5 linked regions of the Ovis aries genome follow. The protein of the gene in region 1 purifies or fractionates together with the protein of each later gene. This does not show direct contact. Links are inferred from orthologs where the notes say so. Each region holds a gene or a part of one and is shown on either strand. Other genes may lie near its edges.

Evidence for each region.
Region 2: the proteins of SEH1L (region 1) and NUP98 fractionate together in Homo sapiens (co-fractionation; 3 studies listed by BioGRID and IntAct, with this or other methods). This does not show direct contact. The link is inferred for Ovis aries from reciprocal best matches to the Homo sapiens genes SEH1L and NUP98.
Region 3: the proteins of SEH1L (region 1) and NUP160 fractionate together in Homo sapiens (co-fractionation; 3 studies listed by BioGRID and IntAct, with this or other methods). This does not show direct contact. The link is inferred for Ovis aries from reciprocal best matches to the Homo sapiens genes SEH1L and NUP160.
Region 4: the proteins of SEH1L (region 1) and NUP85 purify together in Homo sapiens (affinity purification with western blotting; 4 studies listed by BioGRID and IntAct, with this or other methods). This does not show direct contact. The link is inferred for Ovis aries from reciprocal best matches to the Homo sapiens genes SEH1L and NUP85.
Region 5: the proteins of SEH1L (region 1) and NUP107 purify together in Homo sapiens (affinity purification with mass spectrometry; 5 studies listed by BioGRID and IntAct, with this or other methods). This does not show direct contact. The link is inferred for Ovis aries from reciprocal best matches to the Homo sapiens genes SEH1L and NUP107.

What each region holds. Positions count from the first base shown.
Region 1 is NC_056076.1:43,684,211-43,688,329, reverse strand, and holds the start of SEH1L (nucleoporin SEH1), read right to left. Parts: upstream 2,801-4,119; 5' UTR 2,675-2,800; coding exon 2,564-2,674; intron 2,351-2,563; exon of another isoform or gene 2,057-2,350; intron 1-2,056. UniProt on the Homo sapiens protein: Component of the Nup107-160 subcomplex of the nuclear pore complex (NPC). The Nup107-160 subcomplex is required for the assembly of a functional NPC.
Region 2 is NC_056068.1:50,027,172-50,031,420, reverse strand, and holds the start of NUP98 (nuclear pore complex protein Nup98-Nup96), read right to left. Parts: upstream 2,801-4,249; 5' UTR 2,638-2,800; intron 1-2,637. UniProt on the Homo sapiens protein: Plays a role in the nuclear pore complex (NPC) assembly and/or maintenance. NUP98 and NUP96 are involved in the bidirectional transport across the NPC. May anchor NUP153 and TPR to the NPC.
Region 3 is NC_056068.1:76,491,470-76,495,614, reverse strand, and holds the start of NUP160 (nuclear pore complex protein Nup160), read left to right. Parts: upstream 1-1,345; 5' UTR 1,346-1,359; coding exon 1,360-1,459; intron 1,460-1,734; coding exon 1,735-1,846; intron 1,847-4,145. UniProt on the Homo sapiens protein: Functions as a component of the nuclear pore complex (NPC). Involved in poly(A)+ RNA transport.
Region 4 is NC_056064.1:55,609,176-55,613,327, forward strand, and holds the start of NUP85 (nuclear pore complex protein Nup85), read right to left. Parts: upstream 2,801-4,152; 5' UTR 2,725-2,800; coding exon of another isoform or gene 2,692-2,724; 5' UTR 2,051-2,691; coding exon 1,985-2,050; intron 1-1,984. UniProt on the Homo sapiens protein: Essential component of the nuclear pore complex (NPC) that seems to be required for NPC assembly and maintenance. As part of the NPC Nup107-160 subcomplex plays a role in RNA export and in tethering NUP96/Nup98 and NUP153 to the nucleus.
Region 5 is NC_056056.1:151,301,037-151,305,149, reverse strand, and holds the start of NUP107 (nuclear pore complex protein Nup107), read left to right. Parts: upstream 1-1,313; 5' UTR 1,314-1,402; coding exon 1,403-1,410; intron 1,411-2,583; coding exon 2,584-2,675; intron 2,676-3,396; coding exon 3,397-3,483; coding exon of another isoform or gene 3,484-3,484; intron 3,485-4,099; coding exon of another isoform or gene 4,100-4,113. UniProt on the Homo sapiens protein: Plays a role in the nuclear pore complex (NPC) assembly and/or maintenance. Required for the assembly of peripheral proteins into the NPC. May anchor NUP62 to the NPC. Involved in nephrogenesis.

The sequences.
Region 1 (4,119 bases):
GGAGATGATAACAGTGCCACTCAAGTCAGGCACTTATGGTGCTGCTGCCCTAGAAAGTCACTGGGCCAATACTGACCACTCTCCCACAGAGGAAACAGGTACAATTCACAGGAGCCTCTGGTCACAATGTATTTATCAACCAACCTATCAATAACCTTGTTTTACCTGTGCATGTTTGCAAACACCTTATTTTGTATACATTATCGATTCACTAACACTGAACACTGGAAAAGACCCTGATGCTGGGAAAAGACTGAAGGCAGGAGAAGGGAAGGACAGGGGATGAAATGGTTGGATGGCATCACCGACTCAATGGACATGAGTTTGAGCAAGCCCCAGGAGTTGGTGAAGGACAGGGAAGCCTGGCGTGCTGCAGTCCATGGGGTCACAAAGAGTCGGATGCAACTGAGTGACTGAACTGAAATCACACCAACACTGTAACTCAGGTCTGAATGAAGCTCCCCTAACACATACTTTTTCGGGAAGGCACTCATAGCCTTTTTGCTGTGGGACATTATGCAGCACTACACTTGAGGACCACTTCAGCCAGTGAAATTCACCAAAAGAATGAAAATGTGAAAAATGTGGCACCAAACACACACTCAGAAGGACGCTTGTTTACACTATGAAAGCCTGAATAAAAGGCAGAGTGTCACATGTCCAACCTCAGCTGGGAACACAACCTGAACAACTCCAATTTTTCTGCCACCTGGTCATGTCAACAAATAACCATGAGCGTTGCTTTGGGGGTTACAAATAAACTTTATAGAATAAGCAAATTCACAAATACAAAACTTGCAAATAACAAGACTCAACTGTATATATAACAGTCAAAGACAAAACACTGAACCTTCATACCAACAAAAAATAGACATTACAATAACGTGAGATTTTAACCAGGTTTTTTAAATGTAATATGTCCCCCAAATAAATCAATTTTTAAAAATGTAATGATAAAACAGTATTGTGGCTCCTCATAAAACTTCAAACAGGACTTCCCCGGTGGATAGAATTTGCCTGCCAACGCAAGTCCGTTTTCTTGAGCAGATGACCCGCAACTACTGAACCCTGCGTGACCGAGAGCCCATCCTCCACAAGAAGCGCCGCTAATGAGAAGCCTGGAGCACCACAACGATGAGCAGCCCTCGCTCTCCTCAACTAGAGAAAGCCCAAGAACAGCAACACATATATAAAAATTATTAAAATTTTTTCAAATAAAAATAGAATTGCCATGTGATTCAGCAATTCCACTTCTGGGTCTGCACCCAAAAGAGTTGAAAGCAGGTCTCAAAGCTATACTTGTTCACCCACATTCACAGCAGCACTGTTCACAACTAAAATGTAGAAGGAACCAAACTCCACCAACAGATGAGTGATATGTAAAATGTGGTATATGCAGATACATATACTCAGCCTCTTTAAAAGTTTTTAGATTATTTAAACGCTTCCTTTTCTCGGGAAGGAAATTATGACAAATGCTACAACACGTATGAACTTCAAAACATTAAGCTAAGTGAAATCAGCCAGTCACAAAAAAGACAAATCCTGTATGATCCCACTTGTATGAGGCCGCTGGAGTAGCCAAATTCAGAGACAGAAAGTACAAGGGCGGGGACCGGGGTGGACGCTTCAGGGATCGGTGAGTCATGCTTAATGCGGACAGTGCAAACTGAGGATGGCAGTGACCGATGCAAAGATACAAACATACTTAATAAAAACGGTTAAGGTGGTAAATTTTGTTACCTGTAGTTCACTGCAATAACGAAAACACTAAAGAAAAAAATGCAATGATAATGTCCGACACGGACAACTATCACACCGATACTCTTCACCGGCAGCTGTAAAACAGTACAACCTTCAAAAAGACAATCTACCAAGTACTCTCAAGAGCTTTTAAAATACTCATTAATTTCTTTACTGGAATGAGCCTAAGGAAAACTTCCAAAAAACATAAAAAGCGGGATTAACGAAGCTTTTTCACTGCAACACCCCGACAAATACTCCGCACACGGGACAATCCTCTAGAAGACAGCTTTAAGCGGATAAGGAAACCTACTCGGTTAACGGACGCCAATTATCGCGACTGTCACGCGGCCGCGGCGGGCGGAGAGAAAACCCGGGCCTCGTCACAGATCCGTCAGCGAGGGCCGCGCAGCCGCGGCCCAGCTGTGAATACATGGACGGAGGGAGCCCAATCCGACGGGCGCCCGCGGAGCGGGCCTAGGTCCCGCCGACCACCGCCAAGCGAGACATCCCCCTCCCACGAGGTGCTCCGGCCCCAGCCTGGAGCCCAGGGCAAGCCTGGCCGATCGGAGCGCCCTGCTTCCCCCGCAGCGGGAGCGCGCCCGCCGCCGTGACGCACGCACGCACGCAGACAACCGCGGAGAGGCGGCCCGGGCGGCAGTGACCCCACAATACCCGGGAGGAGGGCGCCCGCCGGCCAAGCCGCCGGGCCTCGTGCCCGGCAAGGCGCCTCAACTCGGGAGCACTCCCCTCTCCACGCGCCCCTCGCTCGGACAGCGGGCCGCGCAAGGTCCCGCCCGCTTCCAGGCTCGGCCCGCACCTTGACGCTTTGGTCGCTGGAGCAGGTGGCCATCCGCCGCCCGTGGAAGTCAAAAGACACATCATGGATGAGATCCTTGTGGTCCGCCGCGATACTGCGCGCCACGAACATGGCTGCGCCGGACCCCTCCCGCCTCCTACACGGCGGCGCGGCGGCGCGCGGACCGCAGCCCACCCGGACCCGGCGCCGGGGCGCGCACGGCGGTGCTTTCCGCGTGCTGCTCGCGCGCCCCGGGCTGCGCCCGCCCCGCCCCCTGGCCCGTCATACCCCGCGGGGCCCCGCCCCCTGGCCCGTCATACCCCGCGGGACCCCGCCCCCTGCCCGTCACACCCCGCAAGGCTCCGCCCCCGGTTCGCCGTACCAGTCAAGGCCCGGGTGTGGGTCAAACACCGCGTGGCGGGGGCCGCGGTAGTTACTCTGTCGCCTGGCTGCGGCGCAGTCTGTGCCCTGAAGTGAAATGAAGTAAAAGTCGCTCAGTCGTGTCCGACTCTTTGCGACCCCATCCACTATACAGTCCATGGAATTCTCCAGGCCAGAATACTGGAGTGTGTAGCCTTTCTCTCTTTCAGGGAGTCTTCCCAATCCAGGGATCGAAGCCAGGACTCCCCGCATTGCGGGCGGATTCTTTACCCGCTTAGCCACAAGGAAAGCCCGTCGGTGCCCTAAGGGGACTTAAGGAGCTCTCCGTCGAAGTGTGGAGATTAGGGGAATGTGAAGGTTAAGACTATCATTTGCAAGCCTCGGCCCTGAGTCAGTCTCATCGCGTTGGGCCCCGGGAGTCGGGCAGGGCCCCGGGAGTGAGCGCAGAGATTAGCGGTGCGTAAGGAGCGTGTGTCCAGCGTGTGTGGTGAGGGGTGGGGGGGTGCGTGGCCCCGGCAGTCCCCGTTCCCCCAGGATCTGCAGAAATGGTTTGGCCTTACTGGAAATGCCTTCACTTGCCTTTCCCCTCCCACTAAAAATGGTAAGATTTTATTGGTACTTTAAGAGGACACATACATGTGACAGTGTGGACTGTAGCCCGGTACGTCAAGGGCAAACCCCCAAATCCGTGAGTTGCCGGTATGATAACTGAGAACTACTGTAACTGCTCTAAGAACAAAGACACTCGTTGCCAGAGAAAATACTCACAAAACTCATAAAAGCAGCGTGACAGCCTTACAATCAACGTCACACTTGACCCAGTTTACAGACCCAAAAACCCTTGATTAAAGAGGAAGCCAGATCACCTTGAGGAAAGACCCTACTGTGCTGCCAAAAATACACACTGAATCTTCCAGCCTTCCCTCAGGGGACCTGGGGCCTTTTACCACGGTGATTATGCTTTGGGGAAAAGGAAATAATTAGATTTTTCAAGAATTCTGAACACGCAGCTCCAAACTGACCCTGATTTCAGGAGACCCAAAATATCACTGTGATCCACAGTCAGAGCAGGCCTTGAGGAGGTCAGCTGACCAGAGGTTTTCTGGCTCAGGTGTGTCTCACAGTGGGTCCTCAGAGCCATCCTGTGGTTATTTCCCTGGTTCTGGAATGTGGTTGGGCAACAGGGAGAATCCTTG
Region 2 (4,249 bases), on another chromosome or scaffold:
TCTTAGGACCAGATATAGCATCGCATTTAATTGTATCAATTCAAGTACAAGCTCTTTTGCCTTTTTCCACAAAAAAATGAAATAAATATTGCTCTATTTATCCAATGACCTATCCCCTTTCAAACAGGACTCTAATTTCTCCTATCCCAGAGAAAGGGAGGCTGTGACAGACATGGAAGGAGAAAATAAAGAAAGCAACTCTAGTACTCTTTTTAGCTCCCCATCCCAGATTTTGACAATTTAAGGGTTTTCAAGGATATCTCAACCAAATGCAACTTATTAGCTGACTCCACAAACATAGACAAAGTATGATAAACGTAAGATTTTTTATTGAAATATTGGGAACGTTCTCTGTAGAGCACCAATCTCACTGAGGGGCAGTTTTGCCTCTCAAGTAACATTTGAAAATGTTTGAAGACATTCTTGAATGTTAAATCTTGGAGAGAGGGTGTTATGAGTATCTAATGGGTAAAATACAATACATAAATGAAAAATACTTAGGTTCAATTCTAAACACACAGAATGTGCCAAATTCTCAAGAAACATTGTTTATATACTTTGTCTCTAATACTTATTGTTAAATCACTAAATTTCTTATTCCCTTAAGCTTTGAAAAGATTGCATAATTACAGATGTGATCTTTATTTACTGGAAATTTAACATCAGTATTACTACCCCTTACCTCCTAAGGTTACTTGCTACTATAAAAGTATCAAAGGAAGTAACATTTCCAAGCTATGAATCTGGTTCCCTAAAAGTTGTGCTTGTTATTAGCTGTCTAGGAGCAAATGGACATGAACAGTCAGGTATCAAAGTACAACATAACACACAAATGGTATGGGTCCTCTTATCTGGGCCTGATATTTCAGGAGTGCACAAATACCTAGCCTCTTTATAGACTACTTTTAGGCTTAACTCCTCCAATTTGTTTATCCATCCAGACAAGCATACTTACTGAGGGCCTACTATGTGAAAAGCAAACTGAATACAAGACAAAAAACTTTTTACCAGTCTAATAAAAAGACACAGCTGAAATACAAAATGACTGGTGTCATAAACTGAAGTATCAAATAAGTGTTATAGAAGGCTGCAGGGGAAAGAATGCCGGGGGAGGCTTCCCAGAAGAGAAAATGGCACAGAAAACACACCCTGTTCACCTCTTAGTATTATAAGACTACAGCTTCTGCTCTTATACACTACATTTCTCAATTTTTGCTTCATCATCAAAACAAGAGGAAAGTGATGAGTCAAAAAATAAATTTATCAAAAGTACTTCCCAGGACCTCCTTCTTGTCCAACTTCTGGTTTGTTTTCTATATATCCAAACTTCAACAAGTTCCAAACACGCCATCTAACAAGTGTTTCTTTCTTTCTGAATTTATAAGACTATCACAGGGAATGATCACTGCTCTCTTCTTTCTTCCCTAGCTTCTTCTCCCAAAATAGTTTAATTTTCTCACCTTATTCTATGTTTTCGAATTCGGTAAGAGAGGAGTTGAGTCCCAAGATACAAGAAGTGCCAAATGACTGCTAGTGTATCTTTCTAAGTCTTGTCTTTATTTCCTGTTTTCTATTTCAACTCTACTGTAGCTCACTAACTGGACCCTTTCTTCTGAATCCTCAGTAGCCGACACAAATAAAAATTTCAGACCTACATCAGGAAACTAGCCACTAATATGTAGCCTTATCAGTTCATTCCCAATACATGATACCCCTGATGTTCTTCAACTTTTGAGTTTAGTTCTCATGGTCTAGGCTAGCGTTCCACTAAGGAAGCGTTTGCCTTACGGTGAACTGGGCGGGTAGCAACCAAATCGGAAACGATATTGAAAACTAGGTTTCTGCTTCCAACTACTCAATGTCACCATCTTGACCCCTCCACTTTTCTAAAGGGAATCCTCAGTAATGGGGGGCTAGAACGCCCAGGGAGGGCAGTATAGTAGAAAAATTTCTGGCACTTTCTAGTACTGTTTTTCCTCTGGGCCTCAGCTTCTCCACCTATGAAACTTGCACGTGACATGGGGTAGGGGAATTGACTTAATTTCCAAGGTCCTTAAGGCTAAAGTAAGTAATCCAGAAACCTCACCCTGTTTCTCGTCTAGCTTTATGTGGGACACGTGGGAGAACAAAAAGTAAGGTTTCACTCCATTAAATGACCTTAATTCTCAGATACAGTTTTAATAAGCTCACAAACTCCAGACCCACTCACCCTCCCCAGGGGTTGCAAATTTCCCCTTGGAGAAGCCAAAGCAAACAAAGCCCAATCCCGCAGATGATCAGGGAAGTGCTGAGGAAACCGTCCCTCAGGTTCTCAAGGCGCTGCCCCCGCAAAGGGCCTGCCCACCTAATCACTGACGGGCAAATGAATGAGTACAACCTGCTAGAGAAACGCTCACTCAAGGGAGGCTTCAACGCGAGACCCCCGGGCCCAGAACCCACAGAGAGCGATCCCTCCTCAAAGCCTGAAGGGTCAGGCCTCGGGGCCCGAGACCCGCCCCCTCCCTCAGGACAGAAGGTGCGCGCTAGGGCGCGAGACTCGGCGCGGAGAGGGCCTGGGACGCCCCGCGCACCCGCCCTCCCAAAGTGGAGGAGGAGCCTGCCGGTCTCCGGCCTCCACCACCCTGGCTCCCGACTTACCGCGGTGCTGGGGGCGGGGGAGAAGTGTCAGGAGTGAAGGCCTAGGCCGGACCACCACCCGCCGCTCAGAGAGCAGCGCGCGGCCGCCACGAAACCGTCGCCGCCGCCGCCACCACCGATACCGACCGCCGCTCCGGGCGCTGCGCGTAGAGGGCCCGACTGCGTCACACGCCGCCCGCCGTCAGAGGCTCGCTGCGAGCGCTCCGCCCTCGCAGTCTGCGCATTGGCAGACGCCGCCGCCACTCTACAGCCGCCCTGTTAGTCATTGGACCACGGGTCTTTTGAAACCGAACGTGAGGGCTGTCTTTGGGAGACTAGGAGAGGGGGGAAGAGGCGGGACCGAAGGAATTAGGGGGAGGAAAGGGGAGGGGCGGTAAGGAGGGACATGGAGTGCCGCCCCTCGTCGCCGCGGTTGGCTGGGAGGGAGTAGTGACGTCACACAGGGCCCCTCGAAGTGGGCTGGTGAGTGGCTACATCGGGAGGGGGGTGGGATAAGGGTGATGACGCTATGCCGAGGCTCCGCCCCTTCTCTGGAGCGGAGACACCCAGACTGCTGAGACTCGGGCCAATCAGAGTGAAGCTCCAGAATGGCATGGTAACTGTTCTACCCTTCCTTTGCCTCAGTCCGCGGGTGGTCATGGGAAAGTGCTCCTGTCGTCCGGCCCTCATTTCCTGCCCAGACCACGTGCGGAGCTGGAGGGCCCGCCTAGGTCTATCTAAGTAGCTCGCCTGCAGCTGCTCCAAGGCCCCCAAACCTGGCCTTCTTGCCTCCTGACCCATGCCAGCCCAACATAACCTCTCCCTCTCTGAATCCATAGCATAGGCATTGGGAGTGTTAGTGATGCCCTAAGGGAATGGCTCAGCTTAAAGTTTGGTACAAATAACAATTATTGGGACTTTTTTCCCACCTGCACTTTAGGAACCCCTAAAGTTCTAATTGAAATGATCCCGCCTCCTCTGGGATACCTTTGTGGATCAGTCTGTCCCAGCGAGTTGGGGTGATGCTTGGGCAAGCCTCTGTTACAGCTTTGTTTCTTTGTATTCTGTTACTTACTGTCTTATCTTCAGGGCGGGGCTCTTGGAAGTTAAAGCTTTATTTTCAAATTGGTGTTCCTTCCTCTTGTGTTCCCTGGTGGCTCAGAGGATAAAGCATCTGCCCGCCATACAGGAGGCTCGGGTTTGATCCCTGGGTTGGGAAGATCCCCTGGAGAAGGAAATGGCAACCCATCCCAGTATTTTTGCCTGGAGAATCCCCGTGGACAGAGGATCCGGGCGGGCTACAGTCCACGGGGTCACAAAGAGTCGGACACAACTGAGCGAGTTCACTTTTCCTTTCCCCCCAGGGTCTAGTCCAGAGCAGGAGACAGATTATCTCAAAGGGGTGAGTTGAACATGTTCTGGAAACTAGATCTAGTGACTAAGTGGAAAGTGAAAGTGAAAGTCGCTCAGTCTGACTCTTTGCGACCGCATGGACTATACAGTCTATAGAATTATCCAGGCCAGAATATTGGAGTGGGTAGCCTTTCCCCTCTCCAGGGGATCTTTCCAACCCAGGGATCAAACCCAGGTCTCCCGCATTGCAGGCGGACTCTACCAGCTGAGCCACAAGGGA
Region 3 (4,145 bases), on another chromosome or scaffold:
GGCACTCTATCAGATCTAGTCCCTTAAATCTATTTCTCATTTCCACTGTATAATCATAAGGGATTTGATTTAGGTCATACCTGAGTGGTCTAGTGGTTTTCTCCACTTTCTTCAATTTAAGTCTGAATTTGGCAATAAGGAGTTCATGATCTGAGCCACAGTCAGCTCCCGGTCTTGTTTTTGCTGACTGTATAGAGGTTCTCCATCTTTGGCTGCAAAGAATATAATCAATCTGATTTCGGTATTGACCATCTGGTGATGTCCATGTGTAGAGTCTTGTCTTGTGTTATTGGAAGAGGGTGTTTGCTATGACCAGTGCATTCTCTTAGCAAAACTCTATTAGCCTTTGCCCTGCTTCATTCCATACTCCAAGGCCAAATTTGCCTGTTACTCCAGGTGTTTCTTGACTTCCTACTTTTGCATTCCAGTCCCCTATAATAAAAAGGACATCTTTTGCAGGTGTTAGTTCTAAAAGGTCTTGTAGGTCTTCATAGAACCATTCAACTTCAGCTTCTTCAGCGTTACTGGTTGGGGCATAGGCTTGGATTACTGTGATATTGAATGGTTTGCCTTGGAAACGAACAGAGATCATTCTGTCGTTTTTGAGATTGCATCCAAGTACTGCATTTCGGACTCTTTCGTTGACCATGATGGCTATTCCATTTCTTCTAACGGATTCCTGCCCATAGTAGTAGATATAATGGTCATCTGAGTTAAATTCACCCATTCCAGATGGGTGAATACCAGAATACATTACAGTTCATTATACAAAAATACTCGTATACAGTCTCTCGGAAAAATTCCAACACAAAAGGACACTCTGCCCTTCACTGCCCCCGCCCCCATCACCCACCATCCCATCCCCAAGGCTCGCTTAAGGGTGGGTGAATAAAAGGAGACAGAGCGGAGATGCACTGACAGATACCACGACTCAGGGAGAGATGACCGCAAGCTCGAAACCCAGTAGAGGGCGCCCGTCTGCCGGGCCTCCCGGGACCTCGCCCCTCCCGGCAGGCTGAGACCTGCGTCCCGCGCGGCGTTTTTAAAATGGAAACAAACCCGGCCACGCCCCCTGCCCCGAGGCCGCCGGGAAATATGGCGCCGCCGCTTGGGGCGTCCTAGCCGGCCACGCAAAGGTTTCCTCAGGTGGAGTCCGCAGGCTTCCCCTAGCCCTTTCTCCCTCGGCTCCCTCCCTGCGCACCTGATCTCCAGCTAACTCGATGGACACCTCAACGCAGGATCCGGCCGCCCCCGACCTCTCCGGACTTCTCCACCTGCCCGCCTGCCCCGCCCTCCGGAAGTGACGACACTCGCCCGGCCCTGCTGGTGTCCCGTCGGGCCTCGCGGCGGCGCGGGAAGATGGCGGCGGCGGGAGCCGTGGAACGGAGCTTCGTGGAGCTCGTCGGCGCTGAGCGCGAAAGGCCCAGGCACTTTCGGGAGTTCACCGTCTGCGGCATTGGTACGGCAGCATCCCAGCAGAGCGCGATCCGAACCTTCCCCTCGGGCCTCCCCTGTGGATTTCTCCATCCCAACCCCCGCCCCCCCGTTACCCTTCTGAGCCCACATGCCTGTTAGCACAGGAATCAGAGCTACCTTAGTGTCCTGCTGCCTCCTCTTCCCTCCCCTTTCATTCTGTATGGACTGTCAGTCCGTCCTCCTCTGCTTTCTCAGCGACCTCGGTCCGTGTCATGCCCAGAGAACCACGTGTGCAGGCTGACCACTCACCTTTTACAGGAACTGCAAATGCAGCGGCCGGAGCCGTGAAATGCAGTGAGAGCGCGGGAGGCTTCTACTATGTGGAAAGTGGCAAGTTGTTCTCCGTCACCAGAAACAGATTCATTCATTGGTGAGTGCTGTGTTTGGCAAGCCCTCTGGAAGGTCGGGTCGTTCGGCGGCTGAATTTTCCTGTCTGGCCCTGAGATGTCATTCATTTTCCGAGTGGTTGTAGACAGGAAAAGAAAAAAAGACTGCTTTCTATTTCTGTCTTAATCAGTGGAGAATTAAGGACACCCAGAGTTCTGGAAGAGTTACCCTATCAGGCAACACTAAAAGCAGAAGAAATGTAGCATAGGGGCTAAAGCCCCAAAGACCAGTTTTTAAACATGAGCCCGTTATGTATTTGTAGTGCTTTACATTCATCCTATGTGTTTGAGCCTTTACTTGTCAGGCACTGCTAGGTGTCCTGGGGACAAAATGACTAACAAAAACAATCACCGTTTTCATCATGCAAGGTGTGGCAGTGTAAGAGACGTGGACCTACCTTTCATGGGGCAGTTTTGAGAAGAAAAAAGGCATCAAGCTAATGTTCATGCATAGGTATATCAATACAGATTTTTCATTCTTGCCTCAGAGGAGAAGAATAGGGTTTTGAGAGGCTAATGGGAAGACCAAGTGTTATTGGTGGGGCTGGAGAGGCCTAAAGTAAGTCACATTTAACCTGAGATTGGAAGGGTGAAAGGTTAGCCAAGCAAGGTGTTGTGGGAGAGAGCATTTGAGCAAGTGGGATCACTGTCTCCAAAATCCATGAGGTGAAAAGAATTTGACAGGTTTGAGGAACTGACTAAAGATCTATGCGGCTTAACTGCAAATGGCAAAATGGAAAAGGACGTGAGCGATGCTGAGACTAGTAGCTAGGGTGGACTCATCATGAAGGACCTCAGGCTGTGCTTGGTCTCTGCTCTGGTGCATGGGCTTCTCATTACGGCAGCTTCTCGTTGCAGAGCACAGGCTCTAGAGCGTGGCCTTAGCTACTGCATAGCATATGGAGTCTTCCTAGGCCAGGGATCGAGCTGATGTCCCGAGACTTGGCAAGCAGATTCTTAACCACTAGACTACCAGGGAAGCCCCAAGATATGTGAATTTTATCCTGAGTATGTTGAGCAGTCACTGAAAGTCTATAAGCATGATCAAAATCACATTTTAAAATAATCATTCTGCTTTGTGTAAAATAGATTTGGGATGGATGGGTAAAATACAAAAGAACAGTTTGCTTTTATGATGGACCAAGTAAGACATTGAAAGGTTGTTAAATCACACAAAGATGCTGGGATTCTTGGCCCCCGGAGGAGAAGAATTCAATCCAGGGCCAGAGACGAGGTTTGATCGCTCAGAGCTTTTGTGTAATAAAGTTTTATTATAGTATAAAGGAGATAGAGAATGCTTCTGACATAGGCATCAGAAGGGTTCAGAAAGAGTACCCCCCTGTTAGTCTTCAGCTGAATGTTATATAACCCACTCCAGTACTCTTGCCTGGAAAATCCCATGGACGGAGGAGCCTGGTGGGCTGCAGTCCATGGGGTCGCTAGGAGTCGGACACGACTGAACGACTTCACTTTCACTTTTCACTTTCATGCATTGGAGAAGGAAATGGCAACCCACTCCAGTGTTCTTGCCTGGAGAATCCCAGGACGGGGGAGCCTGGTGAGCTGCCGTCTATGGGGTCACACAGAGTTGGACACGACTGAAGCGACTTAGCAGCAGCAGCAGCATTCTGTTAATGAAAGAAAGGAATGTCTTGAAACTCAGAATGGCACCAGGCCCCTCACCCATAAGATGCATTTTGGGATAATCTTGGCACCAAATGGTTCATCCTGGGCCATAAAATGATTAACTTGAATCTTGAAGAAGGGCAGATCACCATACAAATAGTTTCATTTACATAGATTAGAGGAACAGTATCTGAGTATAACATACTGGTTTGTCAAGGAGGTTCTGAGCCAAGAGGTGGAACCAACTTGAAGATAGAGTTTGGGGTAGATGCATAGTATGTTAACATAGCTTAAGATAAACATTTCCATAAGAAAAAGGCATTGGTTGTCTCTAGGTTTGAGAATAGTTAACTTCAGGTGAAACCAGGTGTCATTATGGCAACACAGTATTTTAAGGGAAACCTCCTTTTAAATGTGTATAGAGAAGGAAAAAATATCGATAGTTTGTTTCCTCCTGCTTCCTTCTGCCGCTTAAGAGAGATAAAAATGTCTGACACTTGCAGGCTATTTCCTCCGTTTGGAGACCGCTGGCCTTCATGCCTGTTACCCTCTCAACATGTTGGTGACTCAGCTGTGGGAGTAGCTAGAAAAACAGAGATAGATGGATTCGAGATACACTTAGAGGGTAGCTTCATTAGGACCAGGTGATAGACTGAC
Region 4 (4,152 bases), on another chromosome or scaffold:
ATAGGTATCCCTCTTCTAACAGCCATGAATCTCCTTCTAAGCATCATATATCATCCACATCTGACATACTCTCCTGAGAGTTCAAACAGATGTGAAAGCAAACAGAGCAATGAAAAAGCAGGAGTATTCTCCCGAGACCTAGTAGATGCTGAAAAGATCAAGAAGAGATAGAAAGAATACATGGAAGAACTGTATAAAAAAGATCTTAATGAACCGGATTACTAGTTAGTCCGGTTGTAGTTAGTCACCCAGAGTCAGACATTCTGGAGTGCAAAGTCAAGTGGGCCTTAGGAGAAGCACTGCTGTTAATAAAGCTAGTGGATGTGATGAAATTCCAGCAGAACTACTCAAATCCCTGAAGGAGAATACCATCAAGGATTTGCATTCATTATGTCAGCAAGTCTGGAAGACCCAGCAGTGGCCACATGACTGGAAAAGGTAATCTTCATCTCAATTCCCAAGAAGGGTAGTACCAAAGAATGTGCTAACCATCAGACAATTGCACTCATCTCCCATGCTAGTAAGATCATGCTTAAAATCTTGCATGCTAGGCTGAAGCATTATGCGAACCAAGAACTTCCAGATGTCCAAGCTGGGCTTAGAAAAGAAAGAGGAACTAGAGATCAAATTGCCAACATTTGCTGGATGATACAGAAAGCAAGGGAATTTCAAAAAAACATCTATCTCTGCTTCATCAACTACCCTAAAGCCTTTGACTGTGTGGATCATGACAAACTGTGGAAAGCTCTTAGAGAGATGGGAATACCAGACCATCACACCTGTCTCCTAAGAAATACTCCCTGACAAATATTTCCATTTGTCCACTTAGGCTTGTTCTACACCTCTTAGCTCTTGGTAACCTGTAAGCCCTGCTAAATGGCAAAGAAGCAAAGTTAGAAGCAGGAGAAACATCAACAGACTTAGATGATGACACCACCCTAATGGCAGAAAGTGAAGAGGAACTAAAGAGCCTCTTGATGAGTGTGGAGGAGAGTGAAAGAGTCAGCTTAAGGCTAAATATTAAAAAAAACTAAGATCATGGCATCTGGCTCCATTCAGTTCAGTTGAGTTCAGTTGCTCAGTCATGTCCGACTCTTTGCGACCCCATGAATTGCAGCACACCAGGCCTCCCTGTCCATCACCAACCCCCGGAGTTCACTCAGACTCATGTCCATCAAGTCCGTGATGCCATCCAGCCATCTCATCCTCAGTCGTCCCCTTCTCCTCCTGCCCCCAATCCCTCCCAGCATCAGAGCCTTTTCCAATGAGTCAACTCTTTGCATGAGGTGGCCAAAGTATTGGAGTTTCAGCTTTAGCATCAGTCCTTCCAAAGAACACCCACGACTGATCTCCCTTAGAATGGACTGGTTGGATCTTGCAGTCCATGGGACTCTCAAGAGTCTTCTCCAGCACCACAGTTCAAAAACATCAATTCTTCGGTGCTCAGCTTTCTTCACAGTCCAACTCTCGCATCCATACATGACCACTGGAAAAACCATAGCCTTGACTAGACGGACCTCTGTTGGCAACGTAATGTCTCTGCTTTTGAATATGCTATCTAGGTTGGTCATAACTTTCCTTCCAAGGAGTAAGCCTCTTTTAATTTCATGGCTGCAATCACCACTGCAGCAAATAGAAGGGGGAAAGGTGGAAGTAATGACAGATTTCCTCTTGAGCTCCAAAATCTCTGCAGATAGTGAATGCAGCCATGAAATCAAACACAATTGCTTCTTGACAGGAAAGTGATGACAAACCTAGGCAGTGAGTTGAAAAGCAGAGACATTACCAACAAAGGTTCGTGTTGTCAACGATATGGTCTTCCCAGGGGTCATGTACAGTTGTGAGAGCTGGACCATAAAGAAGGCAGAATGCCAAAGAATTGATGCCTTCGAACTGTGGTGCTGGAGAAGACTCCTGAAAGTCCCTTGGACAGGAAGGAGATCAAACCAGTCAATCTTAAGGGAGGTCAATCCTGAATACTCACTGGAGGGACTGTTGCTGAAGCTGAAGCTCCAGTATTTTGGTCATCTGATGAGAACAGACGACTCATTTGGCAAAGTCCCTGATGTTGAGAAAGATCGAGGGCAGGAGGAGCAGAGGGCGTCAGAGGACGAGATGAAGCGACGGCATCAAGGATGGAATGAACTTGAACTTAAGCAAACTCCGGGAGGTGGTGAGGGACAGGGAGGCCTGGCGTGCTGCAGTCCATGGGGTCGCAAAGAGTCGGACACGACTGGGCCACTGAACAACAGCAGTCTCCCAAGAGAACTATACTTGGTAAACCTACGGCCTGCTCAAGCAGAAGCCAGGCTCAGGGGGCTGCGACGTGAAGCTTTGCTCCGCTGGGAGAAAAAAAGCCGTACAATATCTCCGCCTGGCTCCAACCCGCTCATTAAAGCTTTAGCCCAACAGGAAAAGCCAGAGAAGCAGGGAGGTCGGGGAGGCAAGGGACAGAAAGGAACAGAGTTGGGGGGGCGGTCTCCAGGGCCAGGTATTCCTCAGAATACACATGGGAGCAGAAACCCAGCGACCACCACGACCCACACGCGGGGAGCGAATTAATGCGACTTCCGAACGGGGGGCAACTGTGCTGAGGGAAGGGGCCGGGCACCCTGCCAGCGGCAGGGACGAGGCGGACCCAATCTCCGGGCCCCAGGGCGGGGGAGAGCGTACTGTTCGGGGCCCCCTTACAGTGACCGTCGGCTCGCTGTCGAACTCCTCCATAGCGCCGCACCACAGCCGCCGGGAACTCGCGGGGCCGCCAGGGCTCGCGCCTCAGGGCTCCGGCTCAGGGCCGGCTGCGAGAGAGGACCCCGCGCGTGAGCGCCTCCCGCACTGCCTGCAGGCCCAGAGGCCCGCCGCGGCGGGGCCTTCTCCTCAGAGCCTCGGCCACCCGCTCTGCGGCGCTGCCCACGCGCCCCTCCTTCTGGCCTCGACCACACGAACGGGGAAGGCAGCACTAGGGGCGGCCTGCCCTCACGGGACCCCTTTCGCCAGAGCCGGCGCCGCCGCGGACACCCCTGAGCCGGGCGGAAAGAAGGCCCCCCGGAGACGGCGGGAGCGGCGGGGAGGCGGCTGCGCGTGCGCGGTCGAGGGCGAGCTCTCGGTTTGGCCCCGGCGGGAGCGAGTTCACCACCTCTGGCGAGCCTGGGTTTCCTTCCCGCGCCTCGGTCTGCAGGCTCCAGTCGTCGGCGCCGCTGCTTTTTCCGTGGCAGGAGCCCCGTTGGTCCATCGGGCTTGTGTACGAAGGTATTCGTCACCAGCCCCTACCCCAAAAGGCTCCAGAGGCGTGAGGGGGACGAGATTGATGCAGCTGAAACAGCTAGGAAACGGAGACCCCTGGGCTCAGTTGAACACAAATACTGGTTTGTTATGGGCTTCCCAGGTGGCTCAGTGGTCAAGAATACCGAGACGCGGGTTCGATCCCGGGGTGGGAAAGATCCCCTACAGAAGAAAATGGCAACCCTCTCATACTCTTGCCTGGGAAAATCCCATGGACAGAGGAGCCTGGCGGACTACAGTTCATGGAGTCGCAAGAGTCGAACGCGGCTTAGCGACTGAACAACTGATTTGTTATCTCACCAAAGAAAAGCAGGAGAAAAAATCAAATCAGGGAATTTGAATCCCAGATCTTGTTATGGAAAACCTCAAAAGTGCTTCGGTGACCTAAAGGAGTTATTTATTTTGTGAGTGCCATGTTTACAAATGTATACACATACAAAGACGGAGAAGGCAATGGCACCCCACTCCAGTATTCTTGCCTGGAAAATCCCATGGACGGAGAAGCCTGGAAGGCTGCAGTCCATGGGGTCGCTGAGGGTTGGACACGACTGAGCGACTTCACTTTCACTTTTCACTTTCATGCATTGGAGAAGGAAATGGCAACCCACTCCAGTGTTCTTGCCTGGAGAATCCCAGGGACGGGGGAGCCTGGTGGGCTGCCCTCTCTGGGGTCGCACAGAATCGGACACGACTGAAGCGACTTAGCAGCAGCGGCAGCAGCAGCAGACATACAAAGAAGAGAATATTACTGGTTCTAAATTCCCAAATAAGCGCATTTTTTTTTAAACAAGCTGGAACTAATTCGATATCTTAAACCTTTGGAAACGGTGCCTGAAAATGTAGCAGCTCTTATTATCTAGAAAAGAAATT
Region 5 (4,113 bases), on another chromosome or scaffold:
TCTCAGCTCCCGGACCAGGGATGAAAACTACACCCATTTCAGTGGAAGGCAAAGTCTTAACAATTGGACCTCCAGGGTAGTTTCCTGGTACACTTTTTACACAAATGTTCCCTCTTTACGTATGAACTGAACCTTGGAGGTAATTCTTTGCTCCAAACTGCTCTTCCGTTTTACTGTGTGCCTTATGGTCAATCACCGCAAATACATTTTATAATAAAACACTTTACAATTCATTTGCCAGGGGACACATGGCAAGAACCTGAAACAGGCTCCTACTTTGAATAAACCTGATTCCAGTACTGACAAAAAAACATTAAGGCCACATTTCATTTTCCATTAAGAGACAAGTACTCTTTTATACAAGAAAAATTAGAATATGAAAAAAAAAGAGGGTACTAGGGTGAGACTCAAATAGTTATTGATGGAGGAGAAAATTAACATTTCGATGACTACTATGTGCGATGCACCTTTGACATCTCGTCTTAATCCTCCCAAGAACTCTGTGATGAACGCGTTATCTCCATTTTACAGGCAAGGAATCTGCAGCGCCGGGGTTTCTAACCTAGATGGAGCTCAACGCCACGTTTTTTCAAAACCCCACGCTGTCTCAGCAGGAATTAGGTATGAAGAAGTCCTCCTAGAACGACATTTCCCAGGATTAGGGTGGAATATATCAACAAATGCCTAAGGAAAACGTAAACTTATTCCTTTAGGGCTAGAATATACAGCTTTTTGACTACTGCACTTTGAAATAGAGGGCGATACCAACACCTTTTACACTTTTTAAGACAGGTGATCATTTTCTCCTTAATAGGGAAATATACCAAGTAAAGAATAATTAGCCACTATGGAAAACAGTTTCAAAGACTGTAAGGGGTTTACACTTCAGCTCAAACAAGGTGAGTACAGTCAGAGATATAAGAACCTCCAAGATGTAGAGCAGAGCCAGCACGTCTGAATTCAACGACCAGGGTGTTTCCCATAGAGTATGAGGAAATGGCTTCACGTTTTTCTATACCATCAATATACATCAGGACCTCTAGCAGGACACCGGCGCCTGGACCACGCCTCACAAATGTCAGTCAAGCAAAGTGGCGGCCGCGCAGCACGGATAAACGATCAGGCCCCGCCTCCTACCCCACTTCTACCCCGCCCCTGGTCCGGCCCTGCCCAGCCCGGAGCCGTTAATCGCCGACACAACTTTGCGCCTGCGCAGGCCGAAAGTGCGGCTTTGTGCATGCGCCTAGAGGGAAAGTTGGTTCTTTTCCCCTCCCACCCCTCGCGATAACATGAGAACTTGCTTCCAGGTCGAAGGGTTTACTTCCGGTGAGCGGGTAGGCTGAAACGCGGTGGCTAAAGTGGAGTTGAGTTTGCAAAGTTCTTGCTGGAGAAGGCTGTAGCCATGGACAGGTAAGTTCTGGTGGTGAAGGCTGAAGTCGATCACTTTCCTCCCCAGCGTGTTGGAGGAATGAAACAGGTGAAACCCGACTCAGAGGAAGCAGACGAGGGCCTGGGTGCTGATTCTAGGCATCCTTTTCCGGCTGGAAGACTGCAGCTAAGGGAGAAAGGCCGCTTGGGCCGGGGACGGATATGGTCCTTGCCAAGATCCTTGAATAACTCATCTTTATGTAGGGGCCTGATGAGTTATTCAATCCTATGAAGGTAGCTACTGTGATCCTCTTTTCATACATAGAATTGAGGCTAAAAGAGGTTAAGGAACTTGATCAGTTAGGAAGCTAACAAAGGAAGCTAAGAACCAAGTTGCCAACCTGGATATGTGTTTCTAGATTCTAGGGGGCTGTTTGATTCAGCAGATAGTATTCACCAGATAGACCAAAGAGGTGAATGTAGGCCTCTGAAAAGAATGCCTACAAAGGTATAAAGGTGTAAGGATATGAAAGTATAGCTTAATGGTCACATGCAGTGTGTGTTTGTATGAAAGTGATGTTTGTGGCTGAACTGGTAAGCTGGGGTCAGATTATAAAAGCCATGGTAGGAAATTTGGACTTGATTCTGTAGGCCAGAGATATCTATCTGAAGATTTCAAGTGGAGGAAATGCACATTAGATTCTTAAGATACAGGTCTCATAATACACACAATTTATTTTCTAGACTTTGGGCTGAGAATGTCTGTGACTGTAATAGTACTGAGATAGACGACACCCTTAGTGTACTCTGGGAAGAAAAGCTTGAAGGATCATTTCTTTCCAATTTATTAGATTTATTTTTTATTTAGTTTCCCAAGTCACCAGCTTAGAAGTATCCATGGTTTGAAGTACTTTGGAGACTACAGACATCCTTTTAAGAGTTCCTGCAACTTTAGGAACCTCCTCAATCCAAGGAAGTAAGGTTTATCTTCAGGAAGCAATTATTTAAAGCAGTGTTAGAATATAGATTTAGATTCCAAGTGTTAAAATAATTCCAGAGGAGGAAAAAATTAACACGTAAGTCAGAGAAGACTTTATGCGGGTAAAATTTGAGCAGGACTTTGAGAGATAAGCTGGATTTGGTAATGATAGAAGTTTTTTTTGCAAATGCTCCTTTCTCATTTCATTCATGTGAATTTGATTATTGCCATTTTAGGAGTGGCTTTGGAGAGATGTCATCTCCTGTGATCCGGGAGGCAGAGGTGACTCGGACTGCACGCAAACAGAGTGCCCAAAAAAGAGCTTTAAGTATCCTTTGCATTTTAAGCATCATTATAAAAATTGTAACATGTTTGGAATTAGCATTATAGACTTCATAGTGATATTAAACACTAGCTGCAATAAAATACTGTGGAAATTAATTTTTTTAACTCTCCAGATGTGTTATTTGGTAAATATGATGCTGAAATTCAGTGAGATTCATATTTCCTTGAAAATAAGGATGTTCCATTTTACTGCTAACTGTCATATTGTGGTTAGCTTTTGCTGAGGTTAGATTTTCTTTATTATTTGAGTTCTAAGAACTCTTAGTTCAGTGTGTGGTAACCTAAGACTTGAGCACTTAGTTCAAGACTGTAGTAACTGATAACTAGAATTTAAAGGGGAAAAGGAATTATTTACTCTTTGCATAGAAAATATGGTAGCTATAAAATACCTTGTCCTTGAAAAACATATTCTCATATTTTGTATAGTATAAATATGGTTCATGCTGGAAGGGATTGGGGGCAGGAGGAGAAGGGGACGACAGAGGATGAGATGGCTGGATGGTATCACCAACTCTATGGACATGAGTTTGGATAAACTCCGGGAGTTGCTGATGGACAGGGAGGCCTGGCATGCTGTGATTCATGGGGTCGCAAAGAGTCGGACACGACTGAGCGACTGAACTGAACTGAACTGAAATATGGTTCATTCTAACTTTAGTGATGTTTTTTTCTATACAAAAAACTTTCTTTAACATTTCCTGTAGTTCGGGTAGCCCAAGATGAAATTTTTTCTAATACCACTCCAAGAAACCAGGTTATGCCCCGAACTCCCAGCTCATTTCGACAACCTTGTAAGATTTTTTTGCTTTTAAAGCATTTAATAATGATAACAGTAATAGCAGCTAATACTGTAATATTATATTTTATAAGTTATTTTTAATTAAGAACAAATAATAGGGATTGCACTTACTATTTGTTGAACTCTTACCATGTGTAAGGCTTTACATAATTGCATAATAGCTGTGAAAGTAGATATTGTCTCTATTTTGTCAAATCTGAACATGAGAACTAGAGAAGTTGATTAATGCAGATAAAATAGCTAGGTAAGTATGTAAGTAATGGAACCAAAATTCAAATCATAATCTGCTTACTTCAGAGTCCATGTCCTTTATACTATCGTATGCTTTATAAAATTAGAATTTGATAAATTCATGAACTCATGAGTGTCTTTTTTTTTTTTTATGTTCAGTTACGTTATAATGACAGCATTTCTGTTTGCAGTAAAATTTTTTTGGTGGGCTCAGTAGTACCAAAAGTTCGTATTTAGAAAAATAAGTTAAATCTTGATATTATAGAAATGTTAATATTGAAAGTATATTTGGTTAGAATCTAAATAATTGAAAAGTGAAAATTGTTCGTTTTTATTTGCTTGTTTCATTTTCATGATCAATGCTCATGCACTTCGAATTCTTTTTACTAAT